Linked DNA regions of Nothobranchius furzeri. The protein of the gene in region 1 binds, or shares a complex with, the protein of each later gene. Links are inferred from orthologs where the notes say so. Each region holds a gene or a part of one and is shown in the gene's direction. Other genes may lie near its edges.

Region 1 (4,367 bases):
ATGTCGAAGTAACGAGACCATTTTGAAAATGTAAGGAGTAGAAAGTACAGATATTTAGGCTCAAATGTAGGGAGTAAAAAGTTGTCAGAAAAAAAATACTCAAGTACAGATACCTAAAAAAACTACTTAAGTATTAGTACTTCCGTTACTTCCCATCCTCTGGTATTAACTCCAGAGATATTAAGATGCAATTGAATTAAAACATTTAGCAAGAAGCTTAGAAGAAATGTTGCAGCTCTACATTGTTATACATCTAAAGAGCATTTATGGAATTTTGCAGATGTATGAAAACCCCAACATCTCCTCATTTGATCAATATTATTTTACTAATTATCAATAATTAACAAAAACTACTAAACAACTATGTATCCTAACCCGATCATGAAAATCACTCATGAAATACGTGTGTACAATTTCATTCCAACATCTAAAATCAAATGTTTGAGACGAATTTTCTTTTTTAAGGTCACAGGATAAGTAAATTGGAGGACATTGTTTACAATTTTAGTATCATATGGAAGTTATTTACATAATATCCAAACTAATCTGACAGTGACTTAAACTGTTTAGATTCTTAAATTTTATTATGGGTGTTAATTGCAGAAAACACACAGGATGCACGGAGTTTCAATAGAAAACAAGGAAAAACACGCATTTGTTTAGCCAAATCAAGGATACGCTAGGGACAGCTAGGAAGCTAGATTCTAAATAAACCAGTATTATTTCACCATTCGTCTTTAGAAATACTGTAACGTTAAGGCTCACAGGGAGAGCTAGCTAATAAGCAGCTAACTGTAGCTTAGCCTAGCCTACACATAAGCTACACGTAAGCTCGCAGAGACTCGCTGTTGCGGTAACGTAAAAAAAAAACATTTTTATTAAAAACGAATGAGTGGTTCTCGATTGAGCGCTACATACTTGGCAGCAAGGTCTTTGTGAGATCCACTTGAATTCATCAGCTGAGTAAGCTCCTGTCTCACCTCGGACGCCATTATTGTGCGTCACCTGAAGTGAGTCGCGCATGCGCAATTGCTTCCCGGTATTTTCTTGGAATCTGGGATGGTTCTATGGGATGGTCATGGAATAACCACAGGAATAACGCCCCAAATCTCGTAGTTTTCTTTTGAAATAATTTATAAGACGGGTTGCTACTAAATAACTTTATAAACGTATTTCCCTTTTCTCTTTCTCATCTCCTCCTAGTAGTTAAATTGTTGCCACTGGAGGGCGTGAATACCCCTTCTCTTTTTCATTATTTTATTTTTTACTTAATTGAAAGATGCCAATGAAACAGTCAAATACATGCGTAACGGTATAGGATAAAGAAATTGCGAAATTGCAAACATGTACAAAAAACTCAAAAGAATAAACAAAGATGAAGATAATAAATACACATTAAACAATAAGTTAACACCAGACTATTGATCACATGAACACAGTGATTTGGCTATATGTTACAACGGCTTGCCTTAAAAGTGCTGTACCTTTAAGCGTAGCGTCACAGTGACGTTCTACGTGGAGGGCGTGGCCGGCCTGTGAAATGTCAGGGAGGAATGGCGCTCGGCGCGGTATTTTGAACAATCGCTTTTTCCTTTTCTTGTTTTATCTGGAAGCCCTGCCCAGCGTTAAAATCTTGGGTAAGAACGATTGCGTATTGGCTTATTCTAATTATCACCACACTTTATCTCGTAGGAAGCTGCAAGGTTAAGAATGTGTTTCATGTTGAGATATAATGTTGTGCTAGCTAGCTTGGGTTAGCAGGCTCGTTAACTTTGCTGGTACAGTTGTCCTGCCCGCTGGGTTGGGTTGGTGAGGCTGCAGCTGATTATGTAGCCAGAAAGTAGCCGAGTATTTCTCATTAATTAAAATTATATATTTGTATATTCTTTGTGTTTGTACACGTATAAAATTAAAATAACTTTGAGTGTTATTTGGTGCACAGATTCTGGGTTAACTTAATGCACCGTAAATGGAAAGTAACCGCTTTTAGCTGAACAGGGACATGTTTTGACGGAATCTCAACCGACTTCTGCGCGAATTTATTTTTCTTTCTTTATATTTGGAGTCATCAGACCCAGTTTCTGTGAATTGTTTCAAGTTTACGGAGCTGTAAAGCGTAAGTTAGTGTTTTTGTGTCATTTTCTCGTTTATTCGGGGACACCGCTGACGTAAAGTAAAAAGTAATGTCACGAATGATTTAATAAATGTCCCATTTAATACTGATTTAGAACAAGCCCACCGCAGGAGTAGAGACCGTTAGAGCAAACTGTTGGCAGTTGCAATAACTGCATCGTTGGCCCAACGTTACGTTCAGATTAAATATCTCAGGTGACAGGAGGAGGCATTATTGAAAGCTAACATTGTTTACATTGTCAGTGCGCTGCTAGAGTTTCGGACTTGTTCGTGACACACGGTTCATCGCGATTCTCCTCCTCATTCCTGTTGAAGTCGCGTTATTCACGATGAGTTCTCTCTGTTAATACTCTCAGTGGGATGTAAAGAATATTAAACGCATTCCCTTCTTCAGTGTGCTAACCGGAAAGCTAACCGAGTTGATGACGAGGTAAAAATGGCGGATCTTTCGAAATCCAACCCCGGCCTGAAATAGTAACGCAGCCAGCAGAGAGCTTGACGTTTCCCCCCACTCTTTACACCCCAATTTACATCACTTCTGGGGAGGTTTTAACGCAAACGGGGAGCAGTCATACCCAGCCTCCGTTTGTTCGCTCCCCCGTAGGGACGTGAAAGCATCCAGGGCAGCTGCCGGTGTGTGGTTTGGGGCAGAAAGGGGTTCACATTATGTGCGTTTCGGTGGATTAATGTTGAGCAGAGAGCAGCAGGACAAAGATACGCCTGAGATGAAACGCTGCGGCCTAGCTAAACCACCATCAGCTCTCAGCTTCTGTCAGAACCACCTGAAGACAAATGGAGCTCCTGCTGCGTTTTATTGCTGATAAAGTCCCACGTAATTACTGTAAACTACCATACAGGTCAAGTTATCAGACCGGCTAAGTCGCTAGCGTTTCTGTTTCCTGCTGTTTCACTAGCAAGATGTTAGTCTGCATTTGTGTTAATCATGAAAAAATGTTTATATAGGCATTTGAATCACGAAATATTTCAAATGACAATCGGTTTATTGCCCCAATTCTACCTCCGTTTACTCACTGCTAACTATAAATGCAATATTTTGGTGAGTTTAGGCAAATAAATGCCTAATGCAACCCCAGATCTTTGGGTTTTTAACATTTTTGACCTAAACTAAAATAAGCTGCTTTGTTATTTTAGGTTTTTCAGAGTGCTGAGACAGGACAACAAGCATGGATGTGGTGTCGCCAGAGCTCAACAGCCTCCTTCCTGATGAAATCATGGATACCGAGGCCATAGAGGACGTCCCACACTCCGAGTCTGATGGCACTGCAGTCCAGTCCCAGGCAAGCCAGGACACATCTGTTCCCATGGAGACAGATGCACCCATGCAATCAGAAAATTTGAGCATCTGCTCCAAAGTCCCTTCAATAGAGCACACCCAGACTCTGACTTCCTCCAAAGCTGCAGACTCCATGCTCACCATCAGTTCTGGAAATGAGCCGTCTGTCTCAGTTTCCACTTCTTCGACCCTCCTTTCCCTTAAATCAACTTTGTCTACTTCCACGGCCACAACCAAAACGACAGACAGCGTCACAGGGACTACTGTTTCCACAGGCGGCTTACAGAAGCATGCAACTCAGTTTGCATTCTCTGCAGCCAACCACCAGATCATTCTTAATAAGGTGGCCTCATCTCAAGCCACAGAGGCTGTGAAATCTGCAGGGACGCCACCCCAAATCATTAAACAGGAAGGACAAAAACTTTTGGTGACAGCAATAGGAAAGTCGGGGCAACCTATATTCTTTCAGTTGCCCCACACAGGCAGCAAACCTGGAGTATCACAGACTGCAGGGAACACCAAGTCACCAACGCCACAATTTAAAGTGGTAACTATTGGTGAAAGGACGGAGCTGAAACCAGTGATGGCGAGTTCTGGAAACCAAGTGACCACGTTACAGGCCCAGCAGCTGAAGACTGTACAGGTAACGTTTATTGATTTGTCTTCACTGCACAAAAAAAAAAAACAACTAGATGCCTATAATTTAGTTTTATGTGTTCTGTAAAATTACTCCATACAAATGATAGTTTTGACCTATAGGGAAATATATGCCAACAACACTGATTATTAGCTTTTAATTCTGTTAAGTGGTGCTAGTTTGATCACATTTCCAGCTAGTAGGCATTAATTCAACCTTTGATTCTCAGTTCAAACAGACATTAACTAAAGTTTTTAAATTGTCATTTTTATTTTCGAACATGTATCAGCCCCACAGAACATG
Region 2 (4,124 bases), on another chromosome or scaffold:
CAAGTAACCAAATTGAATATGGGTTCTTTTTGTTCTTTGTCTAAATAGATTTTTACAAGACGGACTTAGTAGAAACTCTTGCTCTATTTTTTAAAACACTTGTTTCGTTGAAAGAATGGAGAATGTGCGCCCTCTGCTGGCAAATAACAGAACAACACAGGTTTCCAACTGCATGCAGACAAGAAGGGAGTATTTGCTGCCCTCTAGTGTCTGAAATTTGATACTGCACATCCGATTTTTAAATCCATTTAGAAGGGAATATTTAGCCTCTTTAGATTTTTCAAAAATTCAATCACATATAGTTGCTAGCTCCGCTGGCAATAAATAGAACGACACTCTAATTTCCAACTGAAATCTGGTACTGCACGTTCCTTTTAGACATTCTGAAGAGAATATTTAGCCTCTTATTTTAATAAAGCTTAAAAAAAATCCATCTCTGTTTTAACTGCTAATAGCCCCAGCTATAGCTAATAGCTAAAATTTTGTTGTACACAGAAAAATAAAATAGATTTGCTGATTTTTAATTTTTAAGTAGTTTGTACAAGTGAACTAGGCCTGGGACGATAACAGATTTTGCAGGACAATATATTGTCCAACAAATTATTGCCAATAAACAATATTATTGTTGACATTATCGAGACCAAAATAATCACTTATATAATTTTAATATATCATAATAATGCAAGTACACCCTTTAAAATGCAGCAAATAAAACTCTTGTTAACATTAGAATGTTCAGAATCGAACTTCTAAATAAATGAATAAAACAAACAAACAAAAAAAAGAAATAAATAAAACGGACTTTCACTCACTGTTAGAAAATATTGCACCAAAAACCATAAAATAGATCCTGTATTGGGTCATCAAAGAAAAAGGGTTGGGAACCACTGACCCAGACTCTTCGAACTTGGACCAAATTGTTGTACACAGATAGCAAAATCTGTTCAACATAGATTGTGATATGTAAAACCACAGATCTATTTGTAAAAACACCGATTTTCTTTTCTTTCACAAATGTTGGAATGAAATTGTGTAAAATTGTACAAAATGTTGAAATGTATCTTGCCTGGCCATGGAACTCGCTGTGTGCTTAGCACCCCTAAACCTCTGATGCTAGGATCGCCCCTGACACTTATTATAAAATTATTAGTTTATTCATTTTACCCCCAGGAACACGGCTTTGGTGTGTAAGAGTGACCTCTTGTGGTGTGTTTGTGAATTTACAAGGCTTTGTCAACATTGACTCCTATTCGTTGTCACGGGTCACGTGATTATTGTGAAGATGGCGTCTCCGAATGGAGGTAAATTTTAATTCCTTACACAGATACGCTGTTAAAAAATGTAAAATTTAACACTTTAAATCACACAAATTATTCCACGAATGTATTGATGATGTAGCTGAACACCCAGAATTCAGAACTACACATATCAGCGTTGTAGTCCGACTTCTCGGAGGTGGTTTTGTTTGACTGAAGGCTCCACTAGCCCCGGTGTTGTTAGTCCACCAACGTTCAAGGAAGAACAGTAGACAGCTGGCTGCAGACCTTCCGTAACTCCTGATATTTTAAATACTACTAGCTTTTGAGTTGCCTCTTTGTTAAATACTGGCCTAATAATTAATATTTACGACATTTTTCCAACATTTTGAGGCATTATTTGTTTCACATCAACATATTTTGAAAGGTTTTTGAAAGGTTATATATATATATATATATATATATATATATATATATATATATATATATATATATATATATATATATATATATATATATATGTACACACACACACACTATGTAGGGTCATGTATTAGGAAGCATAATGCTAACACAAATTGTTACACTAAATATTGGTTTTAAGAATAGTTTTTGAATAATCAGCACACAGTTGTTGTCACAGCCTAGCAGAAATGGTTGTATAGGGACTTGAATCAAGCAACATTTAAAAATGAAAGGTATGATAAATAAACTAAACCTCCCAAATATTAGTAATTTTTTTAAGAACAGCTGATTAATCAGTATTTATCTTGTACACATATTTTGTTTTAATACAGCCAACATATTGTATTAACTGTTGTGGTTACATTTTGACATTTGTTTGGCTGTAGTCATATGGGCCATTCCCATCTGTACCGGGTCGGTCCGGGCCGGGTAGCGTTGGTTGTTTACATATCTGGGTGGCCTGGTATTTTTCCGGACCAACCAAGGCTCATTCTCAGCCCTCTTCTCGAGGGGGTCTGCTTCAGGCCGACCAGGGCCAACACACCCACTGCTGACAGCAAATTCACACCTTCCATTAGAGCAAGCCTCTGATTGGTGGGTAGAATCAGCCCACATGGGCGTAAGACAAGGATGTGTGGAATCAACCGGGCCAGGATGGGGCCGACTGGGGCTACCCGGCCCGGGCCGACCCGGTACAGATGGGAATGGTCCATAAGTCACACATTTTACTTGTATTTACATCAAGAAGATCACATTTTGTTCTAAAGCTCTGAAATTTCTGCCTGAATTCTGAACATAATTTTACTTCCTTTTCTTTGCCAGGTGATGATTTTGAAAGCTCTTTGCTTAGTTTAGAAAAGCTGGACAGAGCGTCACCAGACCTGTGGCCTGAGCAGTGTAAGTTTTCATCTCCTCTGTGCTTCTTTATGGTCCCACAGTTTAACCTTATCTGTCCTGTCATTTCTCACACAGTACCCGGAGTTGCAGAATTTGCTGCATCCTATAAAAACGTAAGATACGTTTTTTGTCATTAACTGAGATTAATACATTAAATAATCATTTAGATTTGGCATTGCCGTATAATATCATTTATTTTTATTACAGCCCATTACAAGCTCACCCCCTAAGTGGATGGCTGAATTGGAAAGCGAGGACATCGAGATGTTAAAAGGTTGGTACAATTGTTTTTTTTTTTAATATATGTTTAATTAGAAAGATTTTCTCTGTGCCTGCAGCGTTTCATGTTAAAACTGTTGTACTGGTTAGTGTTTCCATAAATATATAATCTTGTCAAGGAGAAACTGAGTTGATCAAACTGGAGCTTAAAATCTTTGCCTTGTAATCACTCTGCAGAGCTGGGTAGTCTGACAACAGCTAACCTGATGGAGAAGGTCAAAGGACTTCAGAACCTGGCTTACCAGCTGGGTTTAGAGGAGTGTAAGTACAAAACACACAAACAACATGAAAACATAGGCTGTGATGTGTTCGTGTAGTTTTTAGTTTTCCCAATCAGCTGTTTACGTCTATCACCACCAGGTGGTGCTAGTAGCCTTTCCACTACTACGTTTAGTTGCAGAATCAGATTTACTTTTTGTTTGTTCAAAATAGGCTAAAATCACATGGATGTTATTTATTATTCAAAATCAGAGTAGATGTTATTGAAAGTGCAATTGTAATTTAGAGTCTGCATAAAACAGGTTGGCCGTAAGATCTTTAAAACAAGGATTTAGGTCAGTCTTGTTAAATGTAAACAAGTAAGAAATGAGTGCATGCCACCAAGAGCTCACACAAGCAAATGCTCAAGAATATGATGGATGCACAAGCTCTTGTTTTAATCCATTCCCTCCCGCCTCCATTGTAATAATCCTTCTGGAGTGTGGATTAGAGAGATGTAGCTAAGTGCTGATATTATCCTAAAAGAAGATAAAAATGTTTTTAATGTTTCTAGCGTAAGAGAATCGTTGTACACCTCCTCTTCAGCGACATGTGTAAATAAACTGAAATGGTAGCAAATTGTGTAAAATAATGTGAGTTTAAACAGCAGGGTAGATGGCAGCCATGATGTCGGTTCTTTAATGATAATAAATAGTTTGTAGAAGGTTTAATAAAACTTTAATGCCACTTTAACAAGAAAATGTTCATCTATAATAAAAAAATCACCCCAGAGTGATCTACATTTGGTGGTAAAGCAAATCAATATTTTAATGTTGCAGAAATCAGATTGATTCATTTTGTGAAATAATTAATTTTAGAAATGATTTGTTTGCCTTGCCTCCAGCAGAGGAAGTGTGTAGTGGCTCTGGTATGAAGACGCTAGCTGTCATAGGTGCAGGGCCGCAGCCTCTGCAGTCATGTCATGTACTCGGGGATGACGGGACACAATGATGGTTATTATTGGTGTCA
Region 3 (4,218 bases), on another chromosome or scaffold:
AGGAACCTGGCTGCGCTGTTCTGCACAACCTGTAGGCGACACATTGATGACTGACACAAACCTGCATATAGAGAGTTGCAGTAATCAAGCCTAGAAATTACAAATGCATGCAGTACCTACTCCAGGTGGGCTCTTGACAGCATAGGCTTGATTTTAGCAAGACGTCTCAGGTGAAAGAAACTGGACCGGATCACAGAGTTGATGTGTGCATCAAATTTAAGTCCAGCATCAATTTTCACCCCCAAACTGGTGACAACTGGTTTTGAGTAGGGAGAAAGAGGGCCAAGATCAACATGACGATCCACATTCCTGCTGTTGGGGTGAAAAACAATGAGCTCTGTCTTTCCCTCATTCAGATGCAGAACGTTGGCCATTAGCCAAGACTCCACCTCGTTAATGCAGGACACAAAGGACTGGATATAGTGACCTTTCTCCTGACACAATGGAGCATCAATCTGGCAATCGTCAGCATAGAGATGGAATGATAGGCCATGTTTACGAAAGATTGACCCCAGAGGAAGCAGATAAATGGCAAACAAAAGAGGACCAAGGATCGATCCCTGCGGGACCCCCCAGCGGAGCCCCTCCCAAGAAGAAAAAACATCACCCAGTTTAACGCAGAATGTTCTGTTGTGGAGATCCAAACCAATCCAGAGCAGACCCTTTGATCCCAACCCATCGTTCCAAGCGATCTAGTAGAATCGCGTGGTCAACTGTGTCGAAGGCTGCCGTCAGGTCTAACAACAGAAGCACCACAGATGTACCCTGATCTAGTGATAGATAGATGTCATTTAGGACCCTCAGTAGAGCCGACTCTGTGCTATGGCCAGACCTGAACCCTGATTGGAAAACCTCAAACAGATCAGCGTCAGCTAAATGTGAGACCAGCTGCTGATAAACGACTTTCTCAAGCAGTTTTGATGTGAAAGGCAGGGTAGAGATAGGCCTGTAATTTTCTATCACATAGACATCAGCATAAGGTTTCTTCAGGGTCGGCCGAATAACTGCTGCTTTCAAAGCAGCTGGGACCACACCTGTGCAGAGGCTCCCATTGATAATCTGACCAAGTGATGGGCCAAGACACGGAAAGGCAGCCTTCCAATTGTATACATTGTATGCAAATGTATTTGTTATTTTTTTAAATCAAATTGTTCTCTTAAGTGTTGGTGCTGCTGTAACAAGTGAATTTCCCTACTGTGGGATTGTTCTATTCTATTCTATTCCATTCTATTCTATTCTATTCTATTCTATTCAGATATATCAGCTGAAATTTGGCATCATTCAGTGTGGTGTGTGGTATTTTTTTCAATCGAATTAAAGAGGAAATAAAAGTGACAGGCCTAAAAACTATTCCTGGTAGATATAATAGCGACTAATGAAAAATCCTCCTCCTACTCCTGCGCAACAGATGGCGGTAAATGCATCCCTGCAGCTGCCTGCTCTCCACCAATCCCAGGAGAAGTAGGTTGTGGGCACGACTCACGTCACTGCTATGGTTACGTCACACCAGTGTTGTCCAATCAGACGCCGCTGTAGCGAGACGCCGCCAAGATCAGATTGTGAGAGGCACTGCTGAAAGCGACAGGCTAGCAGAGAGCCGTGGAAAGGCTAGCTGACGGTGTGCTAACGTGAAGTGCTCTGGTAAGATGCATCCACTGTAGGGTGGCTTCCCACCCGGCGCAGACCAGAGCTCATATACAAGTGTTTAAACGGCCTTTATGTCTTGGTCGACATGAAAAAGTGTTGATATCACACGAAGCTAACAATGGTAAACTTTCTCGATGACAGCTGGTAGTTAGCTTGCTGGCTAGCTAGTGGGCTAACAAAGCGCTGGAGGTTGCGATTTCTCATTGATATCGAGTTAGCTCGTAGCTTTGATAACCAGTTGCTAACTAGCGAAGTGTTGATCATCGATCTACTTAACGATCTTGTCATGGTTTCTATTACCACGGTTATAACTTACTAAACAGAATATGCAACAGGACTTGTTTAAATAGTCCGCAGACATGAAGTTTGAAATATGTAACTCATCTGAATGTAGAAAGAGCTTTCACTTTCTTTTACTGTAACGAATTAAAATAAACAAATTTTATTTGTTTAAGCCACATATTCATTTAAATAAAAATTTAAAGCGTGATTAATTGGCTTGAAACATTTCAATGAAGTTTTTAACTTTTTCAAAAGTGTACTTTTTGCACAAAAAGCTAAAATATCGATTAATTAGATTTGTTTTGTTCTGATTTACTAGGTTGTTGTGACCAAGAGGCCCATGAATGAGATCAAAACTACTGAGAACGTTTAAGAGAATGTGATCAGTTGTAGCAGATAATTGCGGAATCCCAAAATATAAAATTACTTTACATTTGTATAACTTGTTTATTTCCGATTAACATTATATATTAAATTTGCTATTTCAACTGATTCCTTTTGCAGGCCCAGGTCCCTGAATTAATGGTGTCAATATAGTTTTTTATTCACTTCTTTGACTTAATTACTTTAATATGAACTCCTTTTAGAAGAAATGTAGATCAAATCTATGGGCTTGATCCACACATTATGTTGTATGTTTATTAAATTGAAATGTAGTACCTGTTAACATACTGTTGTTTATTTACCATAATATGCAGTTTTAAAATGTTAGGTTTAATTTAACTTGAAAACTGGTTAGTGCATTATATTCATGACAAAAATGTTGTACAGCTCATTTTGCTTGCTTTTGTGATCAGTTTCTCTGATGAGATGAATGATGTTTAATGGTTAGTCAGCTGCCAGACTCGACCAACAGGCAAATCCTGGTATCAGTTTTTGACATAGCGACAAAAAACTGACCTGAGGAAAAACAACTCTTTAATCATATGCTTAAGTTCTTTAAAGGAATAACTTTGATTTATGAATAAAATAGTTTTAAAAGTACATTAGGATTGCTGAGTTTGTTTCCTGTTTGGATGGGATTTAGACCTCCTCTTCCTCCATTCTCTAATGCCAACAACAACAGCCGTCGAAGAGACAAGAGAGTGCACTCGTAAGTGCACGGATTCGCAATTTAAACCCCTCTAATCGTGCAAAACGCGCAGTGCTTTTTTCCAATATCAGTTCTTACTTAAAGAAGGCTATAATCTGCAGCTCGGACCAGAAATCTCTGAATTTTCTGCCAATCGTGTGAAAACGTGCATAAGCTAACTAGCAAGCTAAGGAGCAGCAGGCTGTTAGCAGTAACGGTTAGCCGGCTGTAGTCAACAAAAGATTGTTCATTATTACTGACATGTGGTGTGAAACCTGCTTCTGTGGTGGACTGATTTACTATCTGTAACTATATTTTAATCTCCGTGGAGAAAAATCAACAGTTTCGTCAAAGTTGGCACGTTTTCGTGACCTGTAGCAGAAGTTGGACGATGCCTCTCCTCCGGACGTGATCGGTACCTGAAGTAGGCCTTGTGCACACATAGCTTGGTAAAAGTTGTGGGCATCAAGTGAGGGTTGACTGTGCTTTTTTGTGTTTACATCTAAAGGCTAATGACGCAGCGGTTTGTACAATTAGCTGTAATTTCCGCCAGGTTTGTTTTGCTAACTGAGGAAAAAGTGGAGTAAACATGATGATGGAATTAGCTTAGTGTAGTGTGCTGTGCTCATAGCCAACCATTGAAATGGGCCTGGGTTCATAAATGAGTGCAAAAGCTCATTCAAATCCATCTGTGCCGTGGGGATTTATAGGAAAATGTTATAAATAAGTGAAGCTTGAAACTTTTGCTCACAGCTTTCATTTCTTCTGCAGGGGTCTGAACACTTGAGTGACAGAAGGAACAATTTTTTAATCTGAACTAAACTCCTTCAGGTCCTTTGGGATCATGGCTAAAGATGTGAGTAATTTCCCTCAATATTTTCATCCATATGCACATTATATCTTGTAGCCAGATGAGATGGTTCTTGTTGTTTTAGCATACCTATTATTCTAAACCATCATTAATGTTTGACAATAAACCCAAATTGCAAAATGATCCAATTACCCATTTGGTGTAATTTAAGGAGATATGCACACTTAAGCATCCATTATTGCATCACTACTATCTTATATTATTTTTAATATTCTATATTTGCAGCATAATGAGTTTTGTCTTTTACAGGCTGGTTTGATTGAAACAAATGGAGAGCTGAAGGTTTTCATCGATCAGAATCTGAGCCCTAGCAAAGGTATAACTGAACCATCTTTTGACTTTGTTT
Region 4 (4,181 bases), on another chromosome or scaffold:
CAGAGGGAAGCCAGGATAGATACTCTGCCCTCAGATCTGTTCGCTACAGCTTCATTTGATGCTCTGGAGAGGGACAGGTACTCCAAAGACAAAGCAGACAGCAAACCCTGTTCTCCAAAGAACTTCCTGTCCAGCTCTGATGGAGATGAGCACTCAAAGCTTTTCAGATCTAGAAAGATAAGTAGTTAAGAATGTGAGCTTCTCATCAAAGGTAGCAACAAAATCACCAGCATGCTTACCTTTAAAAACAAAAGCTTTGTCCATGGTGTCCATTGGTCTTCAAACACCTGGCCAGCAGCAGGTGGCTTTAAATGGTTGAAGCTGCTTGTTAATTGGCCCAGCTGGAGGCTGCTCATCAGTCGGGATCAGAGGAAACGTTTTCTGTTTGGGCCGATGTGTGTTTGCAGTTCTGCTTTAAAAAATACTGTTTCATTTATAAAATGATTAGAATGGCTTTTAAATCTTTATTGAAAAGAAAACAAGACAAATTTACAGCACATGATCATAGTAATCTGCAACTTGGGGCCACAAGAGGCTCTTTGTGTCTCATATCTTGGTGATTAATTATATTTATTTTCAAAGTTTCATAATAAAGGTCTTTGTTTGGTTTCTGTCCAGTTTTATGCAAGTTTATATACATCTATAACAATTTGATACTAATGACACCTCTGTCGATTGGTTCCATAGCTTATTGTCCCTGATCTTTTACTCAAATTCACCACAAAGTAAATATATTTAAATAAAGTTATGGCGAGTATTTAGGACTCATTTAATTAAACATGACACATTGATAAAAGGGTTATCTGGCAAGTTAGAGAAAGAAATAGAGGTATAGCATATGTTAGATTTCATAGTGGAATAGTTTAGTGTTTATATTTTACCACAATATTGTTTTTACACTTACAGAGGGAGTGCCTTTTAATTTGACCTCCAGAGGAAAATCACATATTTGGCTAAATATATTGATTACAAGCCAATTACATTAAGTGGATAAAATAAATAAATATACTAGGATTAATCAGAAGAAAGGACAATTGAAGAAACGTGTTTCTTGTTTTTGAGTTAAGAAGTTTCGAGAGAAATTGTGAAATTTCTAGAATAAACAAAAGCTTGCTACGCTCCTCGTTCTTTTATTTTGAAAGTCTGGTGGGAAGTTTGACATCTTCCTGCGCCTGACTGGTTCGACCGCGCAGATCTGGTGCGCATCTACGTCACTGCTCTGGTCGAACGAGAGTGAAGGGCGCGAGATAGAAATAAGAAGCGCGGTCGGAATGGGCGCTCAGCGGCTGCTGCTGTCGGTACACAGAACCTCCAGCGCCGGCCCCTCAGAACCACACCGGGACAACGGTCCACTCCAACGTAAACACCTCTGTGCGCGCGCGGCGGAAGGAGGGAATATCGCCGTGTGACAAAGTAAACAAGTGAAGCAGAGAAATGTCTTCGTGGTCGCGCGGGTAAGAGATCGATCGTTGTTGCCGGATGTTGTTTTTGACAGTAGCAGAACTTGTTAATCTACTGATGTCTGGACGTTACTGCCTAGCTTAGATGCATTTGCAGCTGCAGTTAGCGGAAGGGAAACACGTTAGGAGGAGTTTTATTGTTGGAATTGTGACTCACGACTGCCGCCCTTTTCCGGGCTGTAATCACGAACAACAAGTCTGAGCAAATGAATCCTTGTCCTGCCCTCAGCAGTACTGTTGGTTGTAGCTAGTGAATTATAAATAATATAACCATGAAAACGCGCAAGTCCGCTCGTTTAGCCTCCCCCCGCCTGTATGGCCTTAGGGCGGGCACTGGCTAACTCCTGGTGTCTTCATTAATCAGCTGTGCACATGTGTTTCTCAGCGAGGATGCAGACGAGGCCATGCATCAGGACACTGATTCTGATGTGGCCGAGCCCAGGGATGGAGGGAAGGTGAAGGTGAAGTGGACTCAGGAGGAGGTGAGTGTGCTGACTTGTCCCAGATCACGTCGTTGTGGGTCAGCAGACCTGAACACACTGGGTTGTCTTTACAGGATGAGAAGCTTAAAGTGCTGGTTCTAAAACTGGGTCAGAATGATTGGAAACGTGTTGCCAGCTGCATCCCAGTGAGTCCCGCTGTTCTGGTCTTTAGTGTTACCGTCTTCGAGTCACTCCTTTAGCTCGTTCGTGCCTCTCTTTGCATTCTTCAGACTCACACCGAGCACCAGTGTCAGCACCGCTGGTTGAAGGTCTTGGATCCAGAACTGGTCAAAGGTCCTTGGACCAAAGAGGAGGATGAGAAGGTGGGCTGCGTTTCGTGTTGTGGATCAAGTGTAGAATATTTCTTGAGATTGTCAAAAAGATGCAACTGAATTGTTTGTTTTTCTTCCAGGTCATAGAGCTTGTTAATCTCTACGGTAACAAACAGTGGGCGATGGTAGCCAAGCACCTGAAGGGCAGACTGGGAAAGCAGTGTAGGGAGCGCTGGCACAACCACCTCAACCCCAACGTGAAGAAGTCATCGTGGACTGCTGAGGAGGACCTGATCATCTACAAGGCCCACTGTCTGCTTGGAAACCGCTGGGCCGAGATCGCCAAGCTGCTTCCTGGAAGGTCGGAAAATGTTGCTTCCTGTTTTCTAAACAAGTGGGAGGATGCACTGATTTGTGGTTGAAGCTGAATCTTCTGCTGAAAGGTCTTGTACATCGTTTAACAGGACGGATAATGCTGTGAAGAATCACTGGAACTCCACTATAAAACGAAAGCTGGAGATGGGCTTCTACGCCAGCGAGGTTTTCAGAGCAAACGAGCTGGAGGAGCTGCTGGCGCGCGTTAGTAAAGACGTGCTGGTGGGTCGTCTCCCTCCACCAAGCCTCCTACATCAGCAGCAGTCTCACGTGTTTCTGATTCGAACATCTTGTCTGTGGTGAACCAACAGGTCGCTGGATGCTCTCAGGATGGTTCGGACAAAGAAACGGATTCAAAAGTCCGACTTTTAGTAAGAAATCATCGCATCTATTAAAAACTATGAGCTTAAATGTTGCATCAGCCATCAGTCCTTATGTTTTTACAGAAGTCACAGGAACCATCGGCTCCTGCTAAGAATTCCCACGAAGCAGAGTCGTCCAGGGCTGTCTCCTCTCTAAAGGACGTGTCAAGCCCCAAGACCGATGTGGACTCCACAGGAGAGACGAACAGTTCCAACTGGGTGGTGGACAGCTCTGGTTTCCTCTACCCTACAGGCCCTGTGCTGAAGGAAGTGCTGGACATGGTAGACGGGGTAAATACCCATAATTCACCAGAAAAATAACAAACGCATCTCTGAAACTAACTAAAGTTTAATCGTATTTGATTATAAGAAATGAGAAGCAACTCGTTGCTCCGGTTTAGTTAAATAACCAGTTGCAGCAGAAAGATGATCACCGGTGCAGCAGTTAAATCCAGGTGGTGCCTTTTTCTGTCCGTGTTGTTTTAAAGGATTATTCTATTCTATTCTATTCTATTCTATTTAGTCGACTCTTTGTAAAATCTAGCGGATACCAGACTTGTAAATAAAACGATATCTCCTGTTGGTGGAGGACTTGGACGGCTGGTGCAACCTGGCAGCCTTCGACTTGCCCGAGGACAGCCCCAGCCCCGAGCGCCACCAGTTCCGTCTGGAGGGCAGCGCCTTGCAGGAGCTGAGCAAGTGCAGCAAGGGAGAACTCATCCCCATCTCCCCCGGAGGAATCACCCCTCCCTCCATTCTGTCCCGCCGCAGCCGGAGACGCATCGCCCTGTCTCCAGACGTCAATCGGTCCATGACTCCAAAGAGCACCCCTGTCAAAATCCTGCCCTTTTCTCCGTCACAGGTGAGGAAAAGCTCCATGCTGACGGCACCGACGCTGGTTACACGTCTCCGTCATCCGGGTCATGGTAGTCTGATGAAGGCAACTGAACTTCTTCGGTTCTTCGCCTAAAAGAGGCTTAATGGCAGCAGGACAGAAATAAATGCACCGATATGACATTTTTGGGCCGATATCCAAATACTGACATCAGTGCTTCTAAAATCAGCAGGTTTTGCATAGAATGAACACATTAAAGCTGAAGAGATGATTACAATCACGGTCACATGACTAAACGAATACACCCCACCCTCTTAAACATAAAGAAGATGGGGGGAAAATATGGGTTGTTCATATCGGCCCAGTTTTATTTATGGGGCCGATGCTGATGTACA
Region 5 (4,205 bases), on another chromosome or scaffold:
TAGATTGATAACAAACATTGTTGTTGTCTTTATTGTAGCTTTATTTCACTCGTCACACATGCACTTTATTTTTATTCCTTTGCGTTCAATCCTGTTTTCTGTTTTCCTTAACCACTGCTCCTCCAGGTACATTGTTTATGATGTGGCACAGGTAAACATGAAGTATCTCTTGAAGATCAAGTTTAATTACCAGACATCCCTGTGGTAGAAAAAAGGCAACGTTTGAAGAAAAACACCACTTCTGCATCCAAATGCCTGGAATATTATACCACTTTACAGCTATTTCATGGTTCTGTAGCAGGCAGCCTTCATTAGGATCACGTTAACTTTGTAAAACTGAAATCACAACAGGACGGTTGTAGAAAATACAGGAAGCCTCAGACGATGATGGTTAACGATTTCATTCTTTTAATTTGATCAGTTCATGAAAATCTGTTGATAAGCTTACGTCTAAAGTGTTACAGAGTGTCTGCAAGGGGTTTTGAGTTGAGACCAGAATTATTTCAATGGCTGTTTTCTGAAGTAGCCTTGATGATACTGTATAAGGTCTGACATGTACATATTTGTTTAGTTGTTTCTGTCTCAAGCCGTCTTCCACAACTTTTTGTATGAAAATTGTGTTAATTTTTGTTCCATAAATCACAATAAAGCACGGGACATGTAAAGACTTTTGTCTTTATGTTTTTGTTTTACTCTGAATGGAAATCAGCCTATAATGCATTTATTTACCATTTGTAAACATGTTGAAAGTAAATGATCTTATGGGAGGTCAAAGGTCATGTCCTTAATGCTTCGTGTTCTTAAAAGTGTTTCAACTGCTTTAACATTTTTGGTTTTTAGCTAAATAAAGTTGGTTACAGCCGCGTTTTAAGCATACATGTTCAGTTGAATTAATATTTATGGTGGAAAACCTTTGATTTCACCTTGAAAGTGCTTGAATTTGATTTGGTTTAAGATGTAAAAACCGTGAAATAAAAAAATGCATATAATATACTAACGAGATAAAAATGAGTTTAGCAACAACGTGATCACGAGACTACCTGATAGACTTAAAGCATTTAATATTTAAAGTACAGCTCATAGGCTAATTTAGTTATTGTAGAGGTAACGTAAAACATTAAATAACGTGTTAACTTTGTGTCTGAATTCTTAAATCCGACAAAGGACATTTCCAGTACGTCTAAGTGGAGTCAAGGTTTGTTATCCACACCCATCTTTTTTCTTGCATTCCTGTACCAAGTTTCAACAAAAATATTGTACTTATATAAAATATACTTTACAGTTTATGAGTCAGAGTGACACAAAGTGACTTAGCGCCGGTGGTTGTATCAGTTTGTTTATTTTTTGTCTCAAATCGCCCTCCAGACGGATTCTAACCCAGAATGCATTTTGACAAAGTCTTTGAAAAGCGGCGCGGCTAATTCAAGATGGCGGAGATGGACCAGCTGTTAGACGAGAGTGGGTAACAACACACCATACTGTCAGTTTTACAGTGTGAACAAGCAGCGAATCTATTATAAAAAAGATAAACAGCAGGCGGAAACCCGATAGCACCGTTCATACGGCAAATATTGTAGGTTTTGGGTTGACTTTATAAGCCGCGTTTGGATGTAGAAACCGGTCTACTGCTTGCTAGCACCACGAGCTAACTATAGCTAATACAGCAGTTGAAGAAGTTACTTTAGCTCAACTGGGTAAACGAATCCCGTTAGCTTAGCTGTGAGCTAACCGCTGCTAACCTTATAAATAGAGCTACAATAACAATAGGACTACCGCAGCTAATGACTCTGTGTTTGAGTAATCAGGCTTAGTTTTCCTCATCTTTCTCCCTGGAAATGTATTTTCTTACCATAAGGTTTGTTAGCGCTTGTTACATGGTTACGCGATTGTTGTTATCATTTATTGGTTTGGCTTTTTACACTGAAATAACGGATCTAAATAAATTTAATGTAATTAGATATGACCTTCAGTTCGTGGTAACATCAGCTCGCTTCACCATGTCTGGTGTTGCCTGTCAAGCTGATGTTTCGACCCGTGTTTGACAGCTGAAACTTGGGAGGAAAGGCCTCTAACTCAACCTATCTGACCGATCCGAACGTCATTTTGGTTCTTTGATAGCATAAGTAATATTAGCATTTTACTCAAACATGGAGATATCTGATTTCCTACATTTGTTGATGAAATGACATTTGTTTTAGCTGTTAATAATGCTAATTGATACTGATGTTGCACAATTTCCCATCTTCCTTAGGCTCCTCTGCAGAGGCCCTGGTCAGTTTAAAAGGTACTTAGTCTGTTTATTTTTAATTTGCTCTTTGTACTGTTAAAATGATCTGGATTTAGATTTTTCGTAAACTATGTTTTTATCATTAAAAACATGAACGTTGATTAGGTCAGAGCCATATATGTATTAAACTCCTGGATAAAAGTGGTTAGTATTCCTAAGCCCCTCACACACATGAAGCTGTGTATTACCCTCATAATACCAAGCTTATGACCTGCACTGCCTGCATGTTTTTACAAAATAAAGTCAGCAGTTCGTGCTTTCTTTCTAGTAATAAAAACAGCACAAACTTGGTCAGAAAGCATATTAAATTTATGTGGATTGTGTTCACAATTTATTGTACAAATCCATCTTTTTACAGAGGGCAGCTTGTCTAACACTCTGAATGAGAAGAACAGTTTCACTAGAGCTCACAACACCAGAGGACGCCATTCATCTGTCACAATGGACGTGGTAAAACGATGATCACTTTTATCATGACTAATTAAGATGAACTAGAAACGCATTTATTATTGTTTGGAAAGCTACAATTACATAAGATTTGTATATTTGTCATAAAAAGTTTGAATAAATATTAATAATGGACTTTCTTGAAGACACTTTGGAGGCATAATTGAGATTTGTCGAGAAACAGTTCTATAAAAAAAATATCGATTCTTCTGAGAAAACTTAATTTTTGTGTCTTCAGCCTACAAGGAGCTCTAAGAGAAGCCGTTTGTTTCGGGAGGAAGATGAATCGCCGCAGCAGCGTCCCTCTTCCAGGTCCCCTCGGAGGAGCCAAAGGGTCTCCACTACACCACAGGTACAAACGCCAAAGTTTTCACGGGGTCTCAAAATCATTAAAAGTGCTTGATAGTACAAATTATTACTCAAGAGTATCTTTTTTTTTTGTAAAACCAGGAAGTGAAAGAGTTGTTCTGTGCATGTGTGTGCTGTTCATGCACGTAAGATGCAGGAAAATCTTAAGCTTTTGAAACTGCTGTAACGTTTATTTGGCGAAGGTGTAAGGACCATAGAACTCCACTCAATAAGGTTGTTATACATAGGATGGTCTTTCTGCTTTTCTTTTCTAAAGTGTGTGTAAAATGCTGACTTGTGACATTTAATCATGACTTAATGGTTGCTTTTGGGGACGTTTATGATCATAAAATTTGTTTGTAGTTGCACCAAAACAGTTTGGGGTGTTGGTGCATTCAAGGAAGAGGAGATGAACTTGGTTGACCTGTTCTGCAGTATTATATTGACATACTGCCCTCTAAAGCAACATTTTAGTGGATTTTATTGGGAACATTGGTTCATTCATTCCAAATAGTTTGTTTAAAGGCATATTTTACAACTTCTTCATATTTTTAAATCATTTTCTTGAGCCGATATGTGCTAAAATGACCTTTTACAGGGTTAATAAAATGTCACTCAGACCCCACCGCCTCTATGGCCAGAAAATCACACTTGCAACTTCAGTTTCCGGTCCCTTTTGGACCTTGTAAAGTTGAGCTGACATGCCAGTGCTGCAGTCTGCTTCCAGCATGTTGAACACAGCTGATTTGTTTGATTTAGTGATGAACCGCTTCTGTTTAAACTAATGAAGGCTGAGGACACGTTTCACGCATTAGATTAAGCTGTAAAAAGATGAACGCACAGTAGTAATGTGACGTTCATGAACAAATCGAATCTTTTGAACACGTTTTCAAAGTGAACAGTGAGAGCCGAGTTCCTGTAGAGTAGAGGTGTGAATCTTCACTTGTCTCTCGATTCAATTCGATTCGATATCCCGATGCGTCACGATTATTTCATATTGATTTGTTTTCATCGATGAATTGAAGATGTCAGATAATTGCTTTTTATTTTTTATCAAAAGCGTAATTGACACAACCTGCCGTCCCCCAAAAGCTCTCCATTCACAACAGTTAAGGACGAAACA
Region 6 (3,633 bases), on another chromosome or scaffold:
CACACTCTGCTGTCAGGAACCAGATATGGGCCAAGCTCCAAGTTGACACAGATCCTCAGGTATGGGTTCTGACCGGACTAAGAGAACCCTCAGGTGTCAGGTTCTGATCCGCTAACCTCATTACTCCCACCCCACCATGTCTAAAGGGAATCACTTTGGAGATATTGTGCCGTATGGATGGTTTCGCTGGCATGACAAGTAATTCAGTGTAAGAGAGGTTGAGTTGGAGATGGTGGGATTTCACCCATCTTGATATGTCAGAGTCTGAGATTCGTTCAGAGACTCTGTGGTCGTCCAGCGGGAATGGCCGGTAGAGCTGGGTGTCATCAGCATAGCAGTGGTAGGAGAAGCCATGTGATTGAATGATCTCACCTAGTGAGGTGGTGTATATGGCAAAGAGAAGAGGTCCTAGTACAGAGCCCTGGGGGACTCCTGTGGCAAGATGGTGAACAGCAGAAATTGTCCGAGCCAAGATGCACTGAAAGATCGTCCTTTCAGGTACGATTCAAGCCAGGAGTGTGCTTTCCCTGCGATGCCCATGCTAGAGAGTGCGGACCAAAGGAAGCCGTGGTTGACAGTGTCAGATACAGCCGATAAGTTAGTTACATTTTAAACATGTCAGAAAGAGCGCGGCATGCGGGGAAATCCGTCCGTCCAACCAGTCATGGGCGTGCTGAATCAGCCTTTAGCTAACCTGTTAGCTTCAGGTTTTAGTCTCAGGGCTGCACTTAGAAGAAGAAGAAGAAGAAGAAGAAGAAGAAAATATTTCTATAGCGCCTCTCAAGATAAAAATCACGAGGCGCTTCACAAAAACAAAATATGTAAAAATATAAAAAAGCATTTAGAAAATGTTTAAAAATATATTAAAATGAGCAAAAATAGGCAATTGTAATTAAAAAAAATGTTAAGAAAGAGAGAGAGTGAATAGGAAAGAGGGAAATCAGTGGATCCTGAGGAAGGTGGAATAGGTGGGGAGAGCAGAATAAAGAGAGAGTGGTGAAGAAGGTCATACAAAAGCCAGCTTGAACAAGTGAGTCTTCAGCTGCTTTTTAAAGGAGACCATTGAGTCCACTGATCTCAGGCTCAGGGGGAGAGAGGTCCAGAGTCTAGACTTAGAGCACAGTTCGGTCAGATATCAGGTCCGTTTAGGTTCTAACTTGTGGATTCTTGTGGATTACGGCCAGCTCGGCACCGGTGAGGGAGTGTGCCTGATGAGTAAGCCACGTTTTATCTTGTGGGACTTTTTCTGAGGATGTGCACAGGTGTTACAGTGGTGCAGAGGTTAGGCATCCATTCTGTAAAGCCTAAAGGTCAGAGGTCAGCTCCACCACTGACCGTGCTGACAGCTGGGAACAGCTGTCTCTGCTGCAGTGCATTGTGGGTAAACACATCCACCTTGGTGTCTCCGTGGTTTGTTCAGGTAAAATGCTACCAATCTGAGCTGCTGTGACCTTTAGCCTCCCTGAAACTGAGTGTTGACCTTTGACCTTAGGGTGAACTTGCTGCTTTTCCAGGTTTGGTTTGGTGAAGCCGGTTTAAGGTTCTGGTGAGGTCCAGTTCTGATAGACTAAGCCTGACCTCTGACCTTTAACAATTTACATTGACTGGAAGTCTGGAGTGCGGCTGTTTCGGTTCCAGGGGCTGTTCCAGAGACCCCAGTGATGTCATCAGTCAGCGCCTGAAGGACATGTTAGACATCTTCACACAGCATCATGAGGACAGCACTGATGACAGCAAGGGGATGGAAAAAGGTGAGGACCTGAGCCCAGTGATCAGCTGATCTGCTGTCCCACCTGACCATGTGTTGTCCAGCAGACATGGCCGTCAAGTTCTTCCACCTGAGCGAGGCGCTGTACTACAGGATCCTGGAGTCCATCGTTGAGAGAGAAAAGATGATCCTGGGAGACGCTGACCTGTCTGTGAGTACAGTTCTGGTCTCAAGGTCTGGACTCCTGACCCAGGGCGTCTGGTCTGGACCGGGGAGGTTCTGTGTGTGATGGTTACCAGCTGTGACTGCACTGAACCATACCCCCTGTTGGTTCTGCAGTGTATTCTGGAGCAGGACGTGTTCCACCGCTCCCTGCTGGCCTGCTGCCTGGAGATCGTTACCTTCTCCTACAGACCTCCAGGAGACTTCCCCAGAGTCATCCACACCTTCCAGCTTCCTGCTTACCACTTCTATAAGGTACCAGCTGGCCCGACCCGTTCTCAGACTGAGTCCAGATTAGCCAATCAGGAAGCAGCATGCTGAGCTTCATCTCAGCTATCGGCACTAGTCAGCAGCATCTGCCAGACACTGCTCAAGACAACAATAATATAAACAACAATAATTGTAATAACAACTGTAATAATAATAATAATAATAATAATAACAACTATTTCATCATCTGATGAACGAACTAATACTCATAAAAACTCACGTTTACTGTGTGTGTGTGTGTGTGTGTGTGTGTGTGTGTGTGTGTGTGTGTGTGTGTGTGTGTGTGTGTGTGTGTGTGTGTGTGTGTGTGTGTGTGTGTGTGTGTGTGTGTGTGTGTGTGTGCAGGTGATTGAGGTGCTGGTCCGGTCGGAACAGGGTCTGTTTCGGGAGGTCGTGAAGCACCTGAACCAGGTGGAGGAGCAGGTTCTGGAGAGCCTGGCTTGGACCAGCAACTCCCCGCTGTGGCACAGTCTCCAGTCAGCCCAAGTCCCGACCTGCCAGGAGGTCCATGAGAACACAAACAGCACCTGGTTCTACTTCACCTGTAGAGATGATGTCATCTTCTTACTGAACAGATGATGTTGGAAACATTCAGAACCTTTTGTTTACCAAAGTCTCAGAGATATGAGGAGGCTTTAGGCTGCTCACAAATAAAATTCAGTGGTTCTGAAAGTTCTGTGGGTCAATCAGTGTGTGTGTGTGTGTGTGTGTGTGTGTGTGTGTGTGTGTGTGTGTGTGTGTGTGTGTGTGTGCACGTGTGTGTGCGTCTGCGTTTCAGGTGATGCCTCCTCAGTACCTGGAACAGAATGAAGACAGCGGTGGGGCTGGCATTGCCCTCACTCCAGCCTCACAGGGACCAGACCTCAGCACCAACAGCACCATCACAGGTGATTTGTCAGCCATCTTGTCTTACTCTTTTGTGTTTCTGTGTAGAAATAATTTGCCCCTCCGTCTTCTGAAGGCGTGTCCCCCTCCCCCACCACCCTGCAGGACCGGTATGGCTCCCCCCCCACAGGTGGATTTCGTCGCCGTCTGTTTGTTGACCCGACGGAGGGTGAGACCAGCGCCACAAGAACACCACCGAGCAGCGTCACAAAGCCGAGCCTCATTGCCACCATTCCGGCGGGGCAGACTGTAGTGGCGACCGCCACCGTCACGGCCAACAACGGGCAGACACTGACTATACCTGTGCAAGGTAAGGGACTCAAAACAATGAGTTAACTACAACAGGTGACCTGTAACTATGTGCTGACCTCTGACCTCTTTGTAGGGATACCCAATGAGAATGGAGGATTCACTTTCATCCCAGTGCAAGTGGGCGGGGCCACACTTCAGCCACTCCCTGCCCAGAACCTGACCAGCACTCTCGCCATCCAATCAGCTGTCACCAAGCCAGTCACTAAAGCAGTCAGCAGCCCACTGAGGAGAGGTTC
Region 7 (4,234 bases), on another chromosome or scaffold:
CTCTGGAGAATCCTTCTTTGCATTATCTCCTCCAGTGGTTTCGAAACTGCCGACACTCTGGCTGAGTCCTTGAAAGGGCTTGGAGTTCCTCCATCTTGTTGGCCAGTGATCTCACATCGCCCATTATGATCGATGGAAGAGATGGTTTGAATTTCCTCTTTCTCTGTCTCCGTTTTGCTCCCGCTCTGCACCCACGCTTCTTGCGTTTAGCTCATTTGGGATTTGTGGCTTCAGTTGAGGTAATATTTCAGCCTTTCCAATGTTAATCAGCTGCTCCTGATTGTAAACCATTTGTTGCCATAGTTACGCATCATAACAAATGCTCAAAAAGTGAAAAAAGCTAAAACATAGCAGTAAAAATCCTCCAAGCTTCACAGCACCAGAAACAGAAAAGTAAAGTGTCCAAAAAATACAGTTTTTTTTGAGAAACTAGAAGAAAAATGCCCAAGAAAAGGCAAAACTTACACATAGTCAACTCCAACATGCAGCCGCCCAGAGCAGCGCAGTTCTGGAAAGACAATAATTATACACTGTACACAAAGCTAAAGTACGGAAGGTTGACAACTAGTGTGTGTCAAAACCATACTGCAAAATAACTTGGTTATTATAGGATAAGAAAATAATTAATGGAATATGATTCATTCTTTTGTAACTAGCAGATGTACCAATGCATTGTTTAAGTAATATGGCAACACCCGTGTATGATATTTTTCTTTTCATTTATGACAGCTTGTCACATCTCCATAACAAAAATATGCCTTCCTGGACGTTTAAAGCTGGGTTTTGTGTAAATAATTCGTAGATGTGATGAAAAACAAATGACCGGGCCTTGACTTGAGTCTTGCTCATCTCTTGGTCCAACTGACACGAAGAATAAAGTAAAAATTTAACAAACAAAATTACAGTAAATAATAACGAAACATAATCAATTAATTTGCATGCAAATGAACTACTAAGAACGTGCAGACTTTAGTGGGGTTTTTTGCGCACGTAAAAGTGCGCGTCTGTTCGTGTGCGTGTTTGGGTAGATAAGGGTAAGCACATAAATTGTAGTATTAAATAAATACGTATAATTCATAATTTTAATGGATGCAACCAATACGTAAAGACAATGCAAACATATTCTGATACAACTCATCTGTAATATAAAATATTTACCAGCTAATTTTAATGAACTTTTGTTTTAAATTAAGCAGCCACTATTTTATTTTTGTACACGTCTTCTAAACAACGTGAGTATTCTCAGACACTCCCTTGTACGATTGAACCGTCCCGTCATACCTCGCGTGGCCAACGGCTCTCTACCACCGACTGCCTGCTCATTGAATTACAGCACTCATCGTGTTCAGATACATTTGGGCAACTATTTTCTAATCTAATCCACACGGATTAAAAAAACACCACCACGCAATCTCGGGCTGCTGTGTACTCGACTCCGGCGGTGGAGCTCTCCTGTGCTCGCGGGTTGGAACTGGTCGGGGAAGCGGGGGGAAGTACGGAGCTTGTCCCGAGTGATGGAGCTGGAGTCGGCTAGTAACCGAGGCGACCCGGGAGCGGTGGGAGATTCGCTGCAGCCACAGACCCCAAGCAGGCATGAAAAGAGCCTGGGACTGCTCACGACCAAATTCGTGACCTTGCTACAGGAGGCGAAAGACGGAGTGCTGGATTTGAAAGCTGTGAGCATTCAACCCGGAGTCTTTGTTGTCAGCTAGCACATGTCATACAGAGCCTACCCGCTGTCGTTACTTTCGCTAGCATATTAGCTTAGCTTAGCTCTGTCATGCTAATTTGAATGGATGTAACCTGTTAGCTTCGGGGTTTACAGTATTTGAACATTTGTGATACTCTAACTTTGTTTATTTTGGTGACTCGGTGTGTTAGCGTCCCATAGACACGAACCGTTCAGTCAGACGTGAAATTAACTTTGAAAACAACACCGGCCAACTTTTCAGACTCGCTCTGCCCCCTGCAGATTCAAACTCTCAAAAGTGGGTCAGCTTTTGTTGCTAGTAACATAGTGTGGCATCTTCACACTTGAGCAGTTTCTTTTTTCTGATGGGTATGGCCTTTTCTCTCTGAACGATAAGCACCCCCACTGCGTTAGTTTTAGGAAATATCTTAAATGTGTTGTTTTTTTAATGAGACCTGCCCACTTCCATTAGGTACACAAACGCAGCATAGCTCCTTATTGGTTTTTATCAAGTCCGATTCCAAAAACGTGCAAATCTTTGTGTTTAAACACGTAGAAGTAGTGGATATGCCTCCTCAGTAATGTCAAGATGCTGAGAACTAACCTACTTATTTGATGCAGTACTACTAATACACATGTCCTGACAAACATCTGAATTCAGATACCTCAGACTTGTCAGATTAGTAATGCTCCAAAACAGAAACATTTATAAACACAGTGCCACCTCTGAGCCAAAGTCTAGTAAACCAGGTGGTGTTTAGATTAACTTGACTTCATAATTTCATAAACTAGCTTCCTGGCTGCGGGCACTTATGGTTGCATTGCACTCTGCAGATCATAAAATACCAGACGCTCAGATGTTTTTCTTTCTCTTTCGTTCAGTCCAACTGACTTAAGTCCAGCTATTTGAAAAAGCTTAGACTTATCAGCTCCTTGCAAATTGTTTTTATCTCCTAAGACCCAAAGACTTGGCTGGGCAGGAAGTGTAGATGTCACACCCAGATGGTTTGTAAAATATATCTTTTTTGTGTATTTTACACTCAGCCATGACATTTTCTGTGCAAAAGAGCCAAATGTGTGTTTGTTATTCATATTTTATTCATTGTATTTGTCCTTTTTCTTTCAGGCAGCAGATACCTTGGCAGTGCGGCAAAAACGACGTATATACGACATTACTAATGTCCTGGAAGGAATTGGTCTTATAGAGAAGAAATCTAAGAACAGTATTCAATGGAAGTAAGTTTTATTTGTATGTATGGCTTCATGAAAAGACTAGAATTTATAACTGCAGTCTGTAATAAATTGTTCTTAGCCTTCATGTTTCATGTTTTCATGAAACATCAAGCCTTCATGTTTTCATCATTGTCTTATGTAACAGGGATTACGTCTGAATCGGCTGCAGTTTTCTGAACACGATTGTCTGAGCCTCACCTTTCAATTTTTAAACTGTAGTGATGTTTGTTATATGTAATCATACTAACATATCATATGCCAATACTTTGAGGATATTTATGACTTTGAGGTTTTGCAGCAGTCCTTAACACTTAAAGAGCAAGTCACCCCCTACCAGATTCTTACTCCCCTCCCACTTCCTGTTTGAAAAATGCAACAAATGCTGTTGCCTAGCAGACCGAGAGGGTGGAGCCGCTAACAAACACACACAGGATCACAACGACATTGTGACATCATATGGAACCAGCTAACATTCTAGGGTACCTCTTAGCCAATAGCGATGACAGATTTAAATTCAAATACAGTGCAGAGTTTTTACCTGACAACGGCACAACACTGACAGTTTTAGGCAGAAAATTTAAATTTGAACTAAAATGCACTAAAGTGCAAAACTATTGACTACACGTGTCTGCAGCACGATTAGACACGCATTTATGTAGTTTATCAGAAAATAAGTTGATTTGGGGGTGACTTGCTCTTTAATGTCCTACATACATAAAACAATGCCGTAAGGGAAATGACTATGAGCATGGCTGATTAGCATGTCTTCTACCTGAGTTAGACGTGAGATGAATCTATCTGCAGCTTGTTTTGGCTACAAGTTCATCGTTTATGCTGGGAAAAAGGTTGACGGCGAGTTTTCTTTGCCTGTTGAATGTGAATGACCACGTGCTTACCAATGTGTTTCAGGGGTGTCGGCCCTGGCTGCAACACCAGGGAGATTGCAGATAAGCTGATTGATCTAAAGGCTGAGCTAGACGACTTGGCTGTCCGGGAACACGAGCTGGACCAGCAAAGAGTCTGGGTTCAACAAAGCATCAAGAATGTCACAGACGACTCCAACAACAGCCCATATCTTTCACTGCTGTGTGTGCGTGCATGCGGATGTTTAAACTTTTTCAAGAGAGAGTTTTGTAATAATGTGGACTGTGAGCACCTGGTCACCTAAAGGGGTATTCGACCAATTTTGCACTTAAAAGTCACACAGATTATCACTCAGTCTGTAAAAAGTTGTGACTTTTCACATGATTTAAAGCCAGACATCTTAATGTTTCACTGCTAGTCATATTTCAAAGTTTCAGTGAGAGTTTG

The links.
Region 2: lin54 (region 1) and lin52 share a complex: the UniProt entries of both Homo sapiens proteins name them as parts of the DREAM complex. The link is inferred for Nothobranchius furzeri from reciprocal best matches to the Homo sapiens genes LIN54 and LIN52.
Region 3: lin54 (region 1) and tfdp1a share a complex: the UniProt entries of both Homo sapiens proteins name them as parts of the DREAM complex. The link is inferred for Nothobranchius furzeri from reciprocal best matches to the Homo sapiens genes LIN54 and TFDP1.
Region 4: lin54 (region 1) and mybl2b share a complex: the UniProt entries of both Homo sapiens proteins name them as parts of the DREAM complex. The link is inferred for Nothobranchius furzeri from reciprocal best matches to the Homo sapiens genes LIN54 and MYBL2.
Region 5: lin54 (region 1) and lin9 share a complex: the UniProt entries of both Homo sapiens proteins name them as parts of the DREAM complex. The link is inferred for Nothobranchius furzeri from reciprocal best matches to the Homo sapiens genes LIN54 and LIN9.
Region 6: lin54 (region 1) and rbl2 share a complex: the UniProt entries of both Homo sapiens proteins name them as parts of the DREAM complex. The link is inferred for Nothobranchius furzeri from reciprocal best matches to the Homo sapiens genes LIN54 and RBL2.
Region 7: lin54 (region 1) and e2f4 share a complex: the UniProt entries of both Homo sapiens proteins name them as parts of the DREAM complex. The link is inferred for Nothobranchius furzeri from reciprocal best matches to the Homo sapiens genes LIN54 and E2F4.

The regions. Positions count from the first base shown.
Region 1 is NC_091746.1:62,986,615-62,990,981, reverse strand, and holds the start of lin54 (protein lin-54 homolog), read left to right. Parts: upstream 1-1,512; 5' UTR 1,513-1,637; intron 1,638-2,060; exon of another isoform or gene 2,061-2,116; intron 2,117-3,285; 5' UTR 3,286-3,317; coding exon 3,318-4,070; intron 4,071-4,367. Other genes in the region: cops4 (COP9 signalosome complex subunit 4), read right to left, coding at 919-992. UniProt on the Homo sapiens protein: Component of the DREAM complex, a multiprotein complex that can both act as a transcription activator or repressor depending on the context. In G0 phase, the complex binds to more than 800 promoters and is required for repression of E2F target genes.
Region 2 is NC_091758.1:32,967,754-32,971,877, forward strand, and holds the start of lin52 (protein lin-52 homolog), read left to right. Parts: upstream 1-1,199; 5' UTR 1,200-1,282; coding exon 1,283-1,301; intron 1,302-2,543; coding exon 2,544-2,618; intron 2,619-2,693; coding exon 2,694-2,731; intron 2,732-2,825; coding exon 2,826-2,892; intron 2,893-3,074; coding exon 3,075-3,158; intron 3,159-4,124.
Region 3 is NC_091754.1:25,779,425-25,783,642, forward strand, and holds the start of tfdp1a (transcription factor Dp-1), read left to right. Parts: upstream 1-1,413; 5' UTR 1,414-1,641; intron 1,642-2,897; exon of another isoform or gene 2,898-3,022; intron 3,023-3,303; exon of another isoform or gene 3,304-3,450; intron 3,451-3,772; 5' UTR 3,773-3,845; coding exon 3,846-3,857; intron 3,858-4,121; coding exon 4,122-4,188; intron 4,189-4,218. UniProt on the Homo sapiens protein: Can stimulate E2F-dependent transcription.
Region 4 is NC_091743.1:41,536,722-41,540,902, forward strand, and holds the start of mybl2b (v-myb avian myeloblastosis viral oncogene homolog-like 2b), read left to right. Parts: upstream 1-1,250; 5' UTR 1,251-1,434; coding exon 1,435-1,454; intron 1,455-1,845; coding exon 1,846-1,942; intron 1,943-2,016; coding exon 2,017-2,088; intron 2,089-2,172; coding exon 2,173-2,265; intron 2,266-2,354; coding exon 2,355-2,575; intron 2,576-2,678; coding exon 2,679-2,811; intron 2,812-2,900; coding exon 2,901-2,960; intron 2,961-3,035; coding exon 3,036-3,242; intron 3,243-3,540; coding exon 3,541-3,813; intron 3,814-4,181. Other genes in the region: uncharacterized protein, read right to left, coding at 1-169, 240-273. UniProt on the Homo sapiens protein: Transcription factor involved in the regulation of cell survival, proliferation, and differentiation. Transactivates the expression of the CLU gene.
Region 5 is NC_091742.1:4,991,300-4,995,504, forward strand, and holds the start of lin9 (protein lin-9 homolog), read left to right. Parts: upstream 1-1,361; 5' UTR 1,362-1,427; coding exon 1,428-1,458; exon of another isoform or gene 1,459-1,462; intron 1,463-1,790; exon of another isoform or gene 1,791-1,855; intron 1,856-2,251; coding exon 2,252-2,284; intron 2,285-2,645; coding exon 2,646-2,737; intron 2,738-2,972; coding exon 2,973-3,086; intron 3,087-4,205. Other genes in the region: parp1 (poly [ADP-ribose] polymerase 1), read left to right, coding at 127-208. UniProt on the Homo sapiens protein: Acts as a tumor suppressor. Inhibits DNA synthesis. Its ability to inhibit oncogenic transformation is mediated through its association with RB1. Plays a role in the expression of genes required for the G1/S transition.
Region 6 is NC_091744.1:80,493,730-80,497,362, forward strand, and holds part of rbl2 (retinoblastoma-like protein 2), read left to right. Parts: coding exon 1-59; intron 60-1,638; coding exon 1,639-1,751; intron 1,752-1,812; coding exon 1,813-1,919; intron 1,920-2,047; coding exon 2,048-2,185; intron 2,186-2,545; coding exon 2,546-2,704; intron 2,705-2,978; coding exon 2,979-3,087; intron 3,088-3,161; coding exon 3,162-3,395; intron 3,396-3,470; coding exon 3,471-3,633. UniProt on the Homo sapiens protein: Key regulator of entry into cell division. Directly involved in heterochromatin formation by maintaining overall chromatin structure and, in particular, that of constitutive heterochromatin by stabilizing histone methylation.
Region 7 is NC_091744.1:86,783,071-86,787,304, reverse strand, and holds the start of e2f4 (transcription factor E2F4), read left to right. Parts: upstream 1-1,380; 5' UTR 1,381-1,514; coding exon 1,515-1,676; intron 1,677-2,816; coding exon 2,817-2,926; intron 2,927-3,832; coding exon 3,833-3,994; intron 3,995-4,234. UniProt on the Homo sapiens protein: Transcription activator that binds DNA cooperatively with DP proteins through the E2 recognition site, 5'-TTTC[CG]CGC-3' found in the promoter region of a number of genes whose products are involved in cell cycle regulation or in DNA replication.